2 linked regions of the Nothobranchius furzeri genome follow. The protein of the gene in region 1 purifies or fractionates together with the protein of each later gene. This does not show direct contact. Links are inferred from orthologs where the notes say so. Each region holds a gene or a part of one and is shown in the gene's direction. Other genes may lie near its edges.

Region 1 (8,482 bases):
ACCCAAAGCTAATGCGGAGAAGGGAGCTAAGCTAATGGAGGTAGCAACCTAGCTACAACCGGAGTTAACTGTGCACAACACCAGAGCTTCAAAATCCCTGAGCAGTTTCCAAGCCAGGCCGAGGCTCGACTGAGGCCTTTCCACGGAGCTAGCTCTGTGGTCACGTGGGTCTGATGCTCATTAATTATACAGAAATTTAGGCTTTTAATATACTTAAACAGAAGAGTGAGAAAAAATTCATTTTTCCTTCTTCTTGCCTTTCATGGCCTTTGTTTTAGGCTTTTGTTGTTTATTTTTTCTGCAGTGCCTTCAGTAAAATGTTTACTGTATTACTGCACAGAAAAGTGACATTTAATTAAATAAAAATGGATTTAACTAACTAACTAACGCTGCCATCATTCATTCATGCTGCAGCACACGGCCCCCGAGGGAATACAAACATTGACAGCGACTGTCATTTGGTCCATGCTTGAACAGTCTGAGAAGAATGAAAAAAACAGTAAAGTAAATGACAGCAACAGTAAATAATTAGCTGAGCAAATGGAAACTTCAGTAATGCTTGCATTTATGAATAATAAATCAGAGCCATCTTTTGATTCATTAAATGTTTATACTTATCAATATCCTCTGGTGGTGGTGTAATTGGACAGTGAGATAAAGACTGAATGTTCACAAGCCCGTTTCGGATCATTTTTATAAGAAAACTGGTGATTTTATTCATTCATATCCCTAATTTGTTGACATTAATTTTGTCTAAAGAACACTCTTATTGATTAATATTAAGATCAAGTTTTTAATGAAAGTGTATTTCTTTCCTTTATGCAAAAATGAATGTGGTAAATGGATGATTAAAAACTGCTTTCTTTTGGATGTTTGTGCCACAGGGAAGCGAGTTCACTGTGTTTTCTAAGCACTCTGATAAGGATTAAGGATAAAGGGTTGAATATGTTTCCTGTTACTGATATCCTTCAAAGAAACTTTATTTTTTCTGGTTAGTGTGACTGTGGAAAGGTGACAGCATTCTATGTCTCTGCATCTGATAAGAAGTAACTTTTTGTCACTTCTCTCTGCTGACCAGCACCGCTGCGGAGTTTTTAACTCACAAACACCTGCTCATCTCAACAAAGATGTATTTGTCAGATGAGGAGATCCATGATATGTAAAGAAGGAGCCTTTGCCCTCCACGATGACTCAGGCACAACACTGTGTTCAAATTATTGTTTGAAGATAAGAAGGAAAAAAAATGTGATAAGAGGAAAACAGAGAAGGTAACTTTTTTTAATAAAAAAACATATTTCAGTGACAAGAACTTGTAAATGAATTAGAAAATCTTTATATGATTTTAAATAAAAATGTATTTAACATAAACTTTAAAATACAATAGAAAATAACAGAAATAATCATAGGAATATAATGACAACTCAGTGCAAGAAAACAATGCAAAAGCAATAAAACGTGTTTTTTTATTTTTTTTTACTTACTGACAAGACAATAGTTCCAATAAATAGTTGAAAAGAAACATTTTAAAGGTTTGTACCCAGCTGTAATTAAAAATATAGGATCTGTTTCTTCCAGGTGGATCATCTGAACCATTGGTCCGCATAACTGTCAAACATTCTGGTGAGCCAGTCACATCAAGGCCGTCGTTGCACATGCTTGTTGCTGGGCAGTTTTCACTTCCTGCGCATCCGCAAAGCGAAGGTTGGGCTCCCCACAGACGCCTCGCTCACCTGCTCGACAGGTAAGCTAAAGTTCGGCATGCTATTTGGAGAAATTCATTTCATATAACTGCTAAAAGAAGTTAGCTGCAAGTCCAGCAGCTACTCGTGAACAAAGCGTGCACTGGGATAACTGGGCGTTCTCTCTCATGCGCATTTTTTCAAATTATGGAGAGGGCGGTTCTTTCCTGACATTCAGAAACATCCTCCACCATACATTTAAGATTATCATTTGCAGCAAACTCATACAGTGAGAGTTGTTTATCTGCAGAATATTTCTTCCTAACGGTATACTAAGCAATTTTACTTGCTTTCACCACCCCCTAGTGTCCGTTATTAACTATTAGTGGTCAAAGCAAAAGAGAGACTTATCTCCTTGCTGTGCATTTGTCCTAACGCACAACGTTAACCTACAGCTGCAATGTCTCCCCAGCCTGAACCTTTAAGGACCTGTGTATAAACTTTAAAATACAATATAAAATAACACACACACACACACACACACACACACATATATATATATATCACAACCGATTTTAACCGGTGGTGACACTGGTGTCACCACCGGTTTTAAACATCTGCAAAATTTCTTCTTGGGTCAAATATTCAAGTTTGAAAACCCAGAGTGAAAATCTATCCATACATATATTGGAAATTATTCAACTTCTTTATTTTATAACATTTTTTTCCTACATCTTGATGTATTTGTCCAATCTGTTTTGTAATTCAAAACGGTTTGGGTTAATTGGTTTCTAAAGGAGCGATTCATTACTAAATCTAACAAATTAGCTGTGTTCATTTTCTAAATGCAGGAAATGTGCTGGAAACAGAATGCAGTGCTAGGTATGTCAAATGCATTTTTTCTAAGTCTAACTGATGGTGGCCTGGCACTTTGAAGTTGCAAATTCTTGCCGCAGAGGGTGGTGGGGTCTGAGAGGCATTTCATTAAGCCTGTGAAAGGTCAGTTAGCACAAACTCAAGAATGTGATTTAAATACATGAAAGATTGTGCAGTATCTCTTTAACAGGTATGGGACGTTTGTCCTTCCGTACTTTTGGCCTTCCAACTTAAAGGATATATTGGCTTACCATAAATTCTGGCATGCTGTCTGCTCAGGAGTCACGTGACACATGTGTCTGGGAACAGTATGGCGGACATGCATGTGGAGCCTCCAAACAAGTTACACCGATTATCCAGCTAACCCCGTCGCTAGAACCATCTTTGCCGCGCGTGAAACCGGGCCAGCAGAGCCCGAACTCACAGCAGAATGGACGAGGAAATCAAACTCCAGTTCCCGGATCTTCCTTCCTCCAAGGAGGAGCTGCTGGTGAGGAGAAAACATGAAACTGGAGCCGACACGCTAATTTTAGCTAACATACTCTCCGGCATTATTGTGAAACGTTTAGATTACAAGGCATTCAGTGTGAGGATATATGAACTTAACACAAACTAGTCATGTGTAAAACTCATCTTCTCTTTATTTAATAAATATTAAAATATTTAATCATGTAGCTAAAACCAAGAAGATGCCTAGCGTTAGCCACGTATGTACACAAGTAAACTTACCTTAACATTTCCTTAAACTTTTGATTTGGTTTTTTGTTTTGTTTTGTTTTTTTTTTGTTTTTTCACAGGACTGGGCTTATCCAATGAGGCGAGAAATGCAGGTATGTTATTGTTGTCTAGTAGCATCCATTCCTCCTGTTGTTGTTGATGTTGTGCTATTTGTTTTTTTTTTAATCCATTTAGGAGATTTTACCAGGATTGTACTTAGGCCCCTATTCTGCTGCAATGAAAAGCAAGGTAACAACTAAAAATCGAATGTTTGCTTGAGCTGTGTTGAATATGAAACGGTCACAATTTACATGAATTAATTACTTTAAAATTCATCTGTTTCCAGCTGCCAATTCTTGAAAGACACGGCATAACACATGTTGTGTGTATCCGCCAAGACATTGAAGCCAATTTTATCAAACCTAATTTTCCTCATAGATTTAGGTAAGGTGTTATTTTTGTCCCTTGAACATTTACGTACTCAGAACGCTTATACTAAATGTGAAGTCTTGAGTTATGAAGCTTTTTCTTGCAGATACCTTGTTTTAGATATTGCAGACAATCCAGTGGAGAATATAATTCGGTTTTTTCCTACGGTGAGTTAAAGTTTTAGCTTTTAATTCTCCGTTCTAGTATGTTTTTTCTTACATTTCCTTCTTGCAGACTAAAGAATTTATTGGTAGCTGTTTAGCCACAGAGGGTAAGGACACATACAGTTCCTATTTGTCATCATTTCAATGTGAAATATTTGATCAGCAGTCTTGTTTTGCTCCTCCAGGAAAGGTATTGGTTCACGGTAATGCAGGGATATCGAGAAGGTGAGGAGTTTTCTGTTTTTGACATGTTTCCTTATATAAATTTCAGGAGACAAAAATCTCTAATATAGACTCCTATAGCAGTTGCGCCACAAGTTCACCATCGGAGCGGGTTTTCAGCCCTGCAGGGAAAGTTGTCAGTCCATAGCATGCAATGTTGAAGCTGGAAAAGTAAAAATTTAATTTTTTTCTGGTGGAAACCCTTTTTAATAAGCTGCGTTTTTTTTTAAATAAAAGGTGTTAATATTATGCACATTGTTTTTTTTTTTTGTTGTTGTTTTTTTTCTGTAATAGTGTTTCAGTTTCTGAACAGTGGAAGTAATGTCACTTGAGGCTTACGTCATATTTTTTTATTTGTAATCGTAATATCAATCAGTCAATCACTTCATTAAAGACACAAGAAGGTCCATAACAGATCGTAATACCGTAGGCCAGGGCTTTTCAAGTTAGGGCCTCGAGGGTCGGTATCCAGCACTTTTTAAGAATAAGAATACCTTTTTTTTTAGTCCCTCAGGGGGAATTGCAGTATTGCAACAGCACAAGTACAGTAAAGTTAAAATAGTAGTACAGAAAAGCTATCACACAAAAGGAATTCAGTAAGTAACGTGGAATAGAAAAAGTGTTGAATTGAGAGTTTGATAGTTGTTGAACATAATGATTGTTGCTGTAAACATTGCACATGTATTGAATGGTGATGACAGTTGTGGCATTGCTACAGATACATAAGTTGTCACAGATTTATGAGTTACATATTAGGAGTGTTCCTTATAGAGTCTAATCGCAGCAGGAATGAAAGACATGTGGTATCTCTCCTTCACACTCCTTTGTCATGAAGTGACGGTGGCACAGGAAGTGCTCGCCCCGTAATCGGAAGGTTGCAGGTTCGAGCCCCACTCAGTCTGTCGCTGTCGTTGTGTCCTTGGGCAACACACTTAACCCACATTGCCTGCTGGTGGTGGTTGGAGGAACTGGTGGCGCCGGTGCTCAGCAGCCTCGCCTCTGTCAGTGCGCCCCAGGCCAGCTGTGGCTACATCGTAGCTCATCCCCACCAGTGTGTGAATGTGTGTGTGAATGATTGTGTTGTAAAGTGCCTTGAGGGGTTCCATGACTCTAGAAGGCGCTATATCAAATACAGGCCATTTACCATTCACACAACGAAGGTGGATCTGTCCGTCACTGAAGCGGCTCTCCAGAGCAGAGTTCTGCAGGGGGTGAGACTCATGGCCCAGCATGGATCTCAGTTTTGCCAGGATCCTCCTGCACTGAGTCCAGATGACAGCCCAGGACAAAGCTGGACTTCCTGATCACCCTGTCCAGCTTCTTCCTCTCTCTCTCTCTGTGATGCTGCTACTCCCAACAGATCACACCATACAGGAAAGCTGGTGCCACCACAGAGTCATAAAAGGTCTTCACGAGTGTCCACTCCAAAAGACTGCAGCCTCCTCAGGAGGTCGAGCCTGCTCTGACCCTTCCTGAACAGTGCATCTGTGTTGTGAGACCAGTCCAGTTTATTGTTCAGGTGAACACCCAGGTATTCATAAGAGCCAATTCTCTCAATGTCCATTCCCTGGATGTTCACCTGTGAAGGAGTGGCAGGCTGGCGTCTTTGAAAATCCCCCACCATCTCCTTTGTTTTCCCCGCGTTGATCAGGAGGTGGTTTTGCTGACAACAGTTTTGTGTCAGTCCTCTGTACTCCACATCACCGTCCTCGGTGATCTGGCAGACAATCACAGGGTCATCGGAGAACTTCTGCAGAACACATCTGTCTGTGTTGTGTCTGAAGTCAGCAGTGTACAGGGTGAAAAGAAAGGGTGCCAAAACAGTCCCCTTAGTGGCGCCCACACTGTAGGTCACACACACAGTCCCATGGTTTTAGTGGTTTCTCTGGTCCAACTCACTAGATTCAGTGGTTGAGTCACCTGTGCAGCAGCTCATCGGGTTCTGCAGAAGCCTGTTAATCACCTGCTGATTAAAATCAGGTGTGTTGAAGCACAGTTAAAACTAAAACATGCTGGATACCGGCCCTCAAGGCCCAGAATTGAATAGCCCTGCTGTAGGCCGTGGTAAAATGTGTAGAAAGTTAAACAATATCAAAATTTGGATACAAACCTAATAAGGTGCCTAAGTCACGTCCATCTACTTCCAAACCATGGGTCCCCTGAAGAACGAAAAATCGAATGCATGTCAATGGGGCTTTAAACTGCTATTTTCTAATTCCGTTATGAGCCATGGATTTCATATATGATGTCCGTGAATGTCAAAGACACATTCTGATGCATAGAAAGTGTTTATTTAAATCGGGCAAAAGTTATTTTAGGTTTTGTGTGAAAATACAACCAGGACTACAAATGTGCATCACCAAAGTGATGTCACCGAACCAGACATGGAGAAAAGCAGAAGAAAAATGGCTGTAAGTTTTGCGAACTTCAAACCACCATAAATCTGGCCATGTGGTAAGTAGCAGCTATGCTAGGGGAGAGGAGATTCTGTTGTGACGTCATATATGCGACGTGCCGACATCTGATTTGTAGTCATGCTAATTACGAACTTTTACAAGCTGATAATCTCAAAGTATGTGACAGGCGTGGTCGAAACACATCATTACTTTTCGTTTAAATTGAAGTACAGCACGAGTGTGAATCAGGACGTAAGGCAAAGCGGATTCGAAAATAGCTCCATTGACTTGCATTCATTTATTTGTTCCTGCGGGGACCCATGAGCCGACCGGAAAGGAAGGAGACTTGGGCTCCCTTTTTACACGTCTGATAAAAAATAAACGAGGGTTGTTTTCTCAATAAATACCTATGGTAGCTGGTTTTATCATAAAGTGATGCCATAAAAATGCCAGGGCTGCACTTAATATATTTTCTACTTTTTTTGTAGTTATCTATTATAGATTTAGGTCAATAAGAGCATTTTTTCTTGATATGCTTTTTTATATATCGTCCAGCCATACTCAGATGTATAATATCAGTAGTTTTTGTTTTGATGCTAATACAAGACCAAATCCATCTAAATGTCATCGTAACCACCGGGGTATATCTGTACTTTCAGTGCTGCTTTGGTGATCGCCTACCTGATGGAAACATTTGGGATGAAATACAGGTGACTTTTTTTTTTTTTTTTTTTTTTGCTGTAGACAAAGATTAATTGGAGAAGTGTGTTCTGCTTCAGTTTCTCCCCACTTTAAACTCTGCAGGGATGCATTCAGTTATGTCCAGGAGAGGAGATTTTGCATCAACCCCAATGTGGGCTTTGTGCATCAACTACAGGTAAGACTGGGGCTGAGTCCCAATTCTGCTTGGATTTTAATCATTTGGTCCTTATTTCAAATTAACAAGGGGGAGTGGCTCAAGGGTATTAGTTTTTTTTTTTAACTTTTGCTGTTGTCATTAGTTACACATCCCAGAATTGTTGAGGGCAAATGGGATGAAGGTAAGATGCAAGCAGGTGGTGACATGAGGCTCGACAGCTACTTTATATGGAGTTAGAAACCAACATACAGGCCAGCAGGAAATCCAGTATGAACACCTGATCTAATATGTTTAGGTATACAAGTGCCTCTTGTTGGTCAATATTAGTGAACTGGCTGGTAAAACGGAGAAATACTTGGGGTAATCTTGCAGACATTAATATTTCTGCACAATCTGAAACACTACGCAGGTATACATTTTTCATAGTTACCATAGCACCGTTTCACGCCACCGTTGCCAGTGTGGATTGGGGATTAGTTAAGTAGGGCTGAACGATATTTGGAAAACCTGCGCTGACGATATGATTTAATAAATAAATAAACAAATACTTAAGAAAAAAAATAAATCAAAAACAAAAATTTAAAAATGACTAAAAAGTGGGAAGAGCAAAAAATGTGATCAGATAATGTGAGGAAAGGGAAAAAGGAAATGAACCAGAAAAGGCAATCAGTGGATCCTGGAAAAAGCTGAATCGGCAGAAAGAGCAGGATGAAGCTAACTCGGTTGTTTGCTAGCCATCTAAATTACGTGCCTAGGGGGCAGGAATCTAACCTATAAGAACCCACCCAATTGGCCAAATCGGTGAAGGGCTCTACTTGATTTGTCAAAAATGTCATGCTTCTCTTTGACAAATTTCATTATGTGTAGAAAACATTTGAGCTGACCATTTGTTGTGGTTTTATCTGCTCTTTGCGATATGTGTGTTGCACATGCTGATATCACAATGGCGATGCATTTGTAATGTATTGTGCAGCCCTACTGTTAAGCCAAAATAGTTTTTTCTTTCTACTTGTTTGGCATATTTTTGAGTTACTTTTAACTAGGGCTGGGCGATGCGGCTTAAAAATAAAATCTTCGATTTTATTTTTTATTCGATTTACGATTTTTTTCCGATTCTCTCTCCTCCTCAATTAAGATTAG
Region 2 (7,834 bases), on another chromosome or scaffold:
ATTTGCCCCAGTTTCTCTAACACTAAGAAAGTTTACATACACGATTGTTAAAGATACAGCAAAATAGGAAGGTGCTTTTTGTTTTAAGGGTACTGATGAAATATATTTATCATAACACCATTTTAATTGACCTAAATCATTGTACATTACAGGTGTTGCAAACACCTTTTAAAAGTTTAAATTTCTTGTGTTCAAAGAGCCAGTTTTTATTTCTTGTTGATCTTGGCTTTCAAACCCTCGGAAAAGCCTAGTTTATGCTTCTGCGTCAGCTCCACAAGGGAGAGACACATCCACGGAGACGTTTTGGTCTTCTCTGTCTCCTGAGAAGTGTTTCAAAGCAATTCCCTGCCAGGACAACAGAGGGCGTAGCATTGTTCTGTGGTATCCTGTCACGTATCCGGTTCGAGATGATGCATTAAATATAGTGTTTATATTGTGTTTTTTGTATTTTAAACACCTTTTAACACAAATACATTTGTTCCTCATTCTCCTCCACCTCTTCATGTGCTCGCCACCCACGTTTCCCGTCATTTTTATCCACGAATAAAATGCTTGCTGCATATCTTTTCACTCCTCCAGTCACAGGTGAACAAACATTCATATTTTTAGAGGTTTTCCATGAGGTATTTTTCAAGCTGCTCTGTGTCTGCCGCTAGATATCTTTGGCTCTCTTTATTTTTTTGAGGGGGGCAATGGCGGTGCTGTTGACAAAATCAGCGTCCTGACCAATCACAGGCTTGCGGTCTCCGTCTTATTCAACGGATGTTTAGAAAAGTGGACTCGACTCCGTTCATCCTTGCAAACCTGCTGGAGAGCCCTCACAAGGACGGATAATGGCGTTGCGCGTCTCCGCACTGACGCAGACGCCTTTAGCCTCAGAAGTCATTTTGAACTCTGTGAATAAAAAGCTCCTATCTTCCTCACATACGTCTCGTATGAATGGACATCTCTTGAAGTGTTAATATTTTTAGTTAAATGTCCTGTATTATATTTAGCACTTTCTAGGGTTCTAAAACCCCCCAAGGTGCTTTACAACACATTTGGTCATTCACCCAGGCTCACACACTCACACACTTGTAGTGATGAGCCACAGCTGTCCTTGGGCACACAGACCGGTGAGGCGGCTGTACATAGGCACCACTAGTCCCTCTGACCACCCCCAACAGGCAAGGAGGGTTAAGTATCTTGCCCAAGGACACAATGACTGCAATAGACAGGGCTCAAACCTGCAACCGTCCGGTTACAGGACAACTAGGACCCTGCTGAACTAAGAAGACAAGAGCGATCCTAATTCTGCTCTGTGCCCTAAATAATTATTGACTCACTATTGAGTAATTTTAATGACATTTTCACACACTGAAGTTGTTACCATTCTCTTACATTGTTTCATGCTAAGCTAAAGCTAAAGCAGTACAGATTAATCATGAGAATGACTGGGCTGGTTACAAATAGTGTTTTTTCTACTTATCTAACTATGGAAATATAGCAGCAGACACTATTTACTTTGGGGTGGAATATCCCTTTAACGAGTATAAGGAATATGACAAAGTTAATAGTTAAAACCCTGACTTTTGGTAATTTACAGAATCTGATTTGATCTGTCAACTTTCAGGGTTTAGTATGTTGCCTGATGTAAATTACAATTTCTAACTAGAAAATTCCTGAAGAATTTTTAAAAAGGGACCTGCCAGCTGGCACAAGATAACATTCATACACATGTAAAAAAAATGCCTCTTTAGAAGGCCTGCCATCAAATTCATCCATTATTGTGCACATAATTAAATCATAATCATGCAAAGTTAATGCAAATTTAGACACACTCAAAATGAATAAAAGAATATGTTTTTTGCTAATAATTTCACCATCATAAATCAAAATGCTTAGAAAAGTAAAAGCACACCTCCCACTGCTGAGCCGTTTATTTTGATGTATAATTTGTGGGGGTGCACGCTGCCGCTCGAGCCGCGTTAACGTCCGCGGAAGAATAATAACGGATATTAATATCTAAAACTCCCCAGGTGCATAACAATAAGGTCCCTGCTTGCTGCAGCAGCAGGTCCCTTAATTATTAAGAACGTACTTAAATGAGTAAACTTTAAATTTTATTTGATTAAAGATGAAACAGCAGCTTTCTTTTGGATTTTAGATATTTTAGAACTGTGTGGAGCGACAAGTTTGGAGCTGCAGCTCTCATCTTCTTTTACAGTGAAACAATATTTAGCTTTTGTATTTGACGTATTGTTTTTTCTGTAATTTGACAAACTTACAAGAGAGTTGTTTACATTTATCTCTGACGTTGTGGCTCCTGTCCCAAAACACAATCACACCCATCACTGTTGCTTGTCTGCTGCTGAGCAGCACAATCGGTTTCCCACAAGCTAATTCTCCACATCAATAATATTTAATAACTTGGCTGATTTTATGGAAAGTACTCCAGACAGTTTAAGAGAAGATGAGGAATAACAACCAATGCATTAAGCATAGCTTAAGTGTTCTGTTTGTGTTTTGCAGAATGTCAAGACCATCCCCTCCTCAGACAGCCTAGCGAAGGTTCAGGAGGTAGCAAGCTGGCTTTTGGAAATGAACCAGGATCTGCTGTCGGGGGGCAGCAGCAGCAGGCGGAGCCGGGGCCCCGGGGGTCAGGCAGTACGAGGTAACGCCTCCTCTACGGCCCGGGCACCCCAGCAGGCAGCAGAGGAGGGTGAGGAAGATGATCACATCAACCGGGTGGTTGAGGAAAGCGAGCAGCCACAGCAGAGGGTGAGGTTTTTTTTATTTTGTGCATGTTGGAACATAAACTGGGTTTCCCTAAAAGGTCATTGTTATTCTTCTCTGTGGCGTTTTGCAGCCGGATGCGTCACAGGTTGATGATGAAAGGGAGCAGCCATGGGCACCCGCCGAGTCAGGAGCCAGCAACGGCCCTCAAGGAGAAGCAGACGAGGAGGAGAGAAGAGGAGGCCAGCTAAATGAAGTGACCGGGGATTATAAAGGAGTCCGATGGGTGTGGGGAGCAGAGCAGAGAGCGCTCCGAGGCCAGCCGCACCTCGAAGAGGAGGAAGAAGAGGAAGAAGAGGAGGAGAACAACAATAGCAGCAGCCACCAAGAGGAGGAGGAGACAGAGGAGAGGACAGAGGGAGGGGAGGAACAAGGAAGGGAAGAGGAGGAGAGGGATGAGGGTGAGGAGGAAGAGGAGGAGGAGGATGACGAAGAGATGGACCAAGACAGTGATGAGTTTGAGCAGGAGGAGGAGGAGGAGGAGGAGGTGGGAGATGGGCTCCGCTCCCCCACTCTCAGGAACAAAGTGTCTGCCCCCAGGAATAATCAGGACTCGCTCTTCACACACCAAAGTTCTTCCAACAAGAAGGTAAGCAGCTTAATGGATCCTGTTAGCCGTTCTGCACGTCTGTGAGTAGCTTTACAATCACATCTGGCCAGATGTTCCTGTAGTCTCACAAACTTCTGAAAATGTTCTGCACCAGCGCTGCATTGTTGTTTGAAACAACAGCGCCACCCAGTGGCCAGAATGCTCCAGCACTGTAAAACTCAACACTGTTAGTCAGAAACTTGTTTCATGTTTGATTGGGAAACATGATTTTATATCTGAAATCCAAAAATGCACATCCTGTTTAGCACTTGTAAAGAGTAAACTGTTCAAAGTTTCATGTGAAAGAGTGTTTAGAGTAACACACATTTGTGTTCAGCACCATTTCTTACATTTAGATCCGTATAGTTTTTATTCTTTAGTGGATCCTGTGATTCAGACGCTGTTCTCCATTACAATTCTGTTCAATTCAGTCAGGTTTAGTTCCCCTGGGCCTCTTGTGATCTGACACAGCTGACCGACCAGGTGTGTTTATCAGGGCCTTAGTCACTTGTGGGCCATTCCCATCTGTACCGGGTCGGCCCGGGCCGGGTAGCGTAGGTTGTTTACATATCTGGGTAGCCTGGTATTTTTCCGGGCCTACCAAGGCTCATTCTCAGCCCTCTTCTCGAGGGGGTCTGCTTCAGGCCGACCAGGGCCAACACACCCACTGCTGACAGCAAATTCACACCTTCCATTAGAGCAAGCCTCTGATTGGTGGGTAGAATCAGCCCACATGGGCTTAAGACAAGGATGTGTGGAATCAACCGGGCCAGGCTGGGGCCGACTGGGGCTACCCGGCCCGGGCCGACCCGGTACAGATGGGAATGGCCCATTGGAGGAGCCATCTGGCTTTGCACACATTCTGTTGAGCTGTGGTTAAATGTGCATGGTATTATAGAAGGATCTGTTATGAGTTTAAATTAAAAGTTTCATTAATAGTTTATTTATAACTTAGCAGTTTTCACAACAGAGACCTTTTGTGATTGAGCTGGTTGAGCTGTGTAAAAAGAAACTGACTAAGGCCTGATGTGCCACCAGATTAGGTGGCTTATGACTCATCACAGATGGGTTCTGTCATGGATTTGATCAGTAAGTTTATCAATAACCTATTTCCCTGTAGTCGGAGAGAAAAAGGAGACAATGAACAACAAGTCAAACAGTTATAACTGTGGCAAGATGCCCCAAACATCCGGTCTCATAGTTTATTTATATATATATATATATATATATATATATATATATATATATATATATATATAGAGAGAGAGAGAGAGAGAGAGGAGAGAGGAGAGAGAGAGAGAGAGAGAGAGAGAGAGAGAGAGAATGTGTGTGTGGGAAGTAGGGGTGGGCAATATAAACGAAATAAGGTAGAAACGATCTAAAATTGGGTAATGATAGTGTTTTTGGCTAAATTGCAATACCGCGATATCGCAAAAACACATGACGTCACTAAGATGTGCACCCTGCTGACATTGGGGCAACAGAATGGCAGTGACTACAAGCATGGATTGGGCGGAGGAGGTGGCCTATGTACAGTGGGGCAAAAAAGTATTTAGTCAGGCACCGTTGTGCAAGTTCTCCCGCTTAAAATGATGACAGAGGTCAGTAATTTTCATCATAGGTACACTTCAACTGTGAGAGACAGAATGTGAAAAAAAATCCATGAATTCACATGGCAGGATTTTTAAAGAATTTATTTGTAAATCAGGGTGGAAATTAAGTATTTGGCCAATAACAAAAATTCAACTCAATACTTTGTAACATAACTTTTGTTGGCAATAACAGAGGTAAAACGATTACTATAGGTCTTTACCAGGTTTGCACACACAGTAGCTGGTATTTTGGCCCATTCCTCCATGCAGATCTTCTCGAGAGCAGTGATGTTTTGGGGCTGTCGCCGAGCAACACGGACTTTCAACTCCCTCCACAGATTTTCTATGGGGTTGAGGTCTGGAGACTGGCTAGGCCACTCCAGGACTTTCAAATGCTTCTTATGGAGCCACTCCTTTGTTGCCCGGGCGCTGTGTTTGGGATCATTGTCGTGTTGGAAGACCCAGCCACGTTTCATCTTCAAAGCTCTCACTGATGGAAGGAGGTTTTGGCTCAGAATCTCACGATACATGGCCCCATTCATTCTGTCCTTAACACGGATCAGTCGTCCTGTCCCCTTAGCAGAAAAACAGCCCCAAAGCATGATGTTCCCACCCCCATGCTTCACAGTAGGTATGGCGTTCTTGGGATGCAACTCAGTATTCTTCTTCCTCCAAACACGACGAGTTGAGTTTATACCAAAAAGTTCTACTTTGGTTTCATCTGACCACATGACATTCTCCTAATCATCTGCTGCATCATCCATGTGCTCTCTGGCAAACTTCAGATGGGCCTGGACATGCACTGGCTTCAGCAGCGGAACACGTCTGGCACTGCAGGATTTGATTCCCTGCCGTTGTAGTGTGTTACTGATGGTGACCTTTGTTACTGTGGTCCCAGCTCTCTGCAGGTCATTCACCTGGTCCCTCCGTGTGGTTCTGGGATTCTTGCTCACCGTTCTCATGATCATTGTGACCCCACGGGATGAGATCTTGCGTGGAGCCCCAGATCAAGGGAGATTATCAATGGTCTTGTATGCCTTCCATTTTCTGATAATTGCTCCCATAGTTGATTTTTTCACACCAAGTTGCTTGCCTATTGTAGATTCACTCTTCCCAGTCTGGTGCAGGTCTACAATTCTTTTCCTGGTGTCCTTCGAAAGCTCTTTGGTCTTGGCCATAGTGGAGTTTGCAGTCTGACTGTTTGAGGCTGTGGACGGGTGTCTTTTATACAGATAATGAGTTCAAACAGGTGCCATTAATACAGGTAACGAGTGGAGGACAGAAAAGCTTCTTAAAGAAGACGTTACAGGTCTGTGAGAGCCAGAGATTTTCCTTGTTTGAAGTGACCTAATACTTATTTTCCACCCTGATTTACAAATAAATTCTTTAAAAATCCTGCCATGTGAATTCATGGATTTTTTTTCACATTCTGTCTCTCACAGTTGAAGTGTACCTATGATGTAAATTACTGACCTCTGTCATCATTTTCAGTGGGAGAACTTGCACAATCGGTGGCTGACTAAATACTTTTTTGCCCCACTGTATAAAAGAAAAACAACCCAGTAGCCTTTGTTCCGACAGAAACATTTAGCTTAAATAAAAACCACAACAGTGGGCACCAGAGGGAAAGGCGAGGCTTCTTTTGAACATTTTAACCGTGTTTATTACGGGCCGTTTATGCGTCACTCTACCAAACTACAAATACAAAATTAAACAAAAAGAAAAATCAATTTGTCTTCCAGCAAACATGTGTGCTGCGCTTGTATTAAAAAAATCTATCTTTTGAGCTTCTTCTGTGTTCGCAAATCAGTCCGTGCGTCATGACGTCACATGCACGAATAAATCGTCCATCGTCTTTTTTGGACTGACGATTGGTGGTGGGAAAAATTATACAAATCGCTCAACCCTATTCTAGACAATATTTAAAGTGCAGACTTTGCAATTGTGGAGATTAAACTTCCTGCTAGCTACACGGAGAGACTGGGCGTTACTGTTTACAGTCCTGGGGAGGTGGGATCCAGACTCGTGACTGCCAGGATGGTGAAGATCGGGGCATGATGATGCAGACATGCCTCGCTTCTTCCCATCCGGCCTTTTGCAATAGCCTAGCAGAGTTTAGCACAGCTAAAGGGAAGAAGCAACTGAGACATGAAAATGTAAAAGTGAACCCATAAACCTTGTTGGGGGTGTTTTTCATCAGGAAATAACAATGAAATTTAGTCCAATCCTGGTCCTGGAGGGCCGGTATCCTGCATGTTTTAGTTTGAACTCTGTTTCAACACACCTGATTTCAATCAGCAGCTAATTAACAGACTTCTGCAGAGCCTGATGAGCTGCTGCACAGGTGTTTCAACCACTGAATCAAGCCTGTTGGAGCAGAAAAACCACAAAACCTGCTGGATACCAGCCCTCCAGGACCAGGATTGGACACCCCTGAGTTAGAGGCAACACAGAAGGGCTTTGGCAATTTCTAGGACCATTAATAAAATAAAATAAAATATATGACTATAGCATTTTTGTACATCAGTCACTTTTATGTTCATCTGGTGAAATCCACCACTTCATGCAGTTGTGACTGTTCTAATGACAAGCTTTGGTAATGAGACAGTACCAATACATCTTTATATTAAGTGTTTCTAACAGTTTTCTAATTAACTCTAAGTAACCCCATTATTCGTTTATCACTTGAGATTTGAATGATTTAGTTTTTTTTAACTCCAGTGCAGAATTGTTGTTCCATTCTGTTCCACTAGAGGGAGACATATAGCTGAGTTATACCAACCCACTGTTACTGTTTGTTCTTTTTCCTGTTATTTTTTGTGCTGCTCAGAACTTGTTGCTGTTCACAAAAGTAAGCAGGATTGAATAATTCATGCTT

The links.
Region 2: the proteins of styx (region 1) and fbxw7 purify together in Homo sapiens (affinity purification with western blotting; 4 studies listed by BioGRID and IntAct, with this or other methods). This does not show direct contact. The link is inferred for Nothobranchius furzeri from reciprocal best matches to the Homo sapiens genes STYX and FBXW7.

What each region holds. Positions count from the first base shown.
Region 1 is NC_091749.1:54,434,925-54,443,406, reverse strand, and holds the start of styx (serine/threonine/tyrosine-interacting protein), read left to right. Parts: upstream 1-2,759; 5' UTR 2,760-2,985; coding exon 2,986-3,045; intron 3,046-3,352; coding exon 3,353-3,385; intron 3,386-3,467; coding exon 3,468-3,521; intron 3,522-3,618; coding exon 3,619-3,716; intron 3,717-3,807; coding exon 3,808-3,868; intron 3,869-3,935; coding exon 3,936-3,972; intron 3,973-4,050; coding exon 4,051-4,090; intron 4,091-7,142; coding exon 7,143-7,193; intron 7,194-7,287; coding exon 7,288-7,360; intron 7,361-8,482. UniProt on the Homo sapiens protein: Catalytically inactive phosphatase. Acts as a nuclear anchor for MAPK1/MAPK3 (ERK1/ERK2). Modulates cell-fate decisions and cell migration by spatiotemporal regulation of MAPK1/MAPK3 (ERK1/ERK2).
Region 2 is NC_091747.1:80,806,575-80,814,408, reverse strand, and holds part of fbxw7 (F-box/WD repeat-containing protein 7), read left to right. Parts: intron 1-2,511; coding exon 2,512-2,760; intron 2,761-2,848; coding exon 2,849-3,364; intron 3,365-7,834. UniProt on the Homo sapiens protein: Substrate recognition component of a SCF (SKP1-CUL1-F-box protein) E3 ubiquitin-protein ligase complex which mediates the ubiquitination and subsequent proteasomal degradation of target proteins.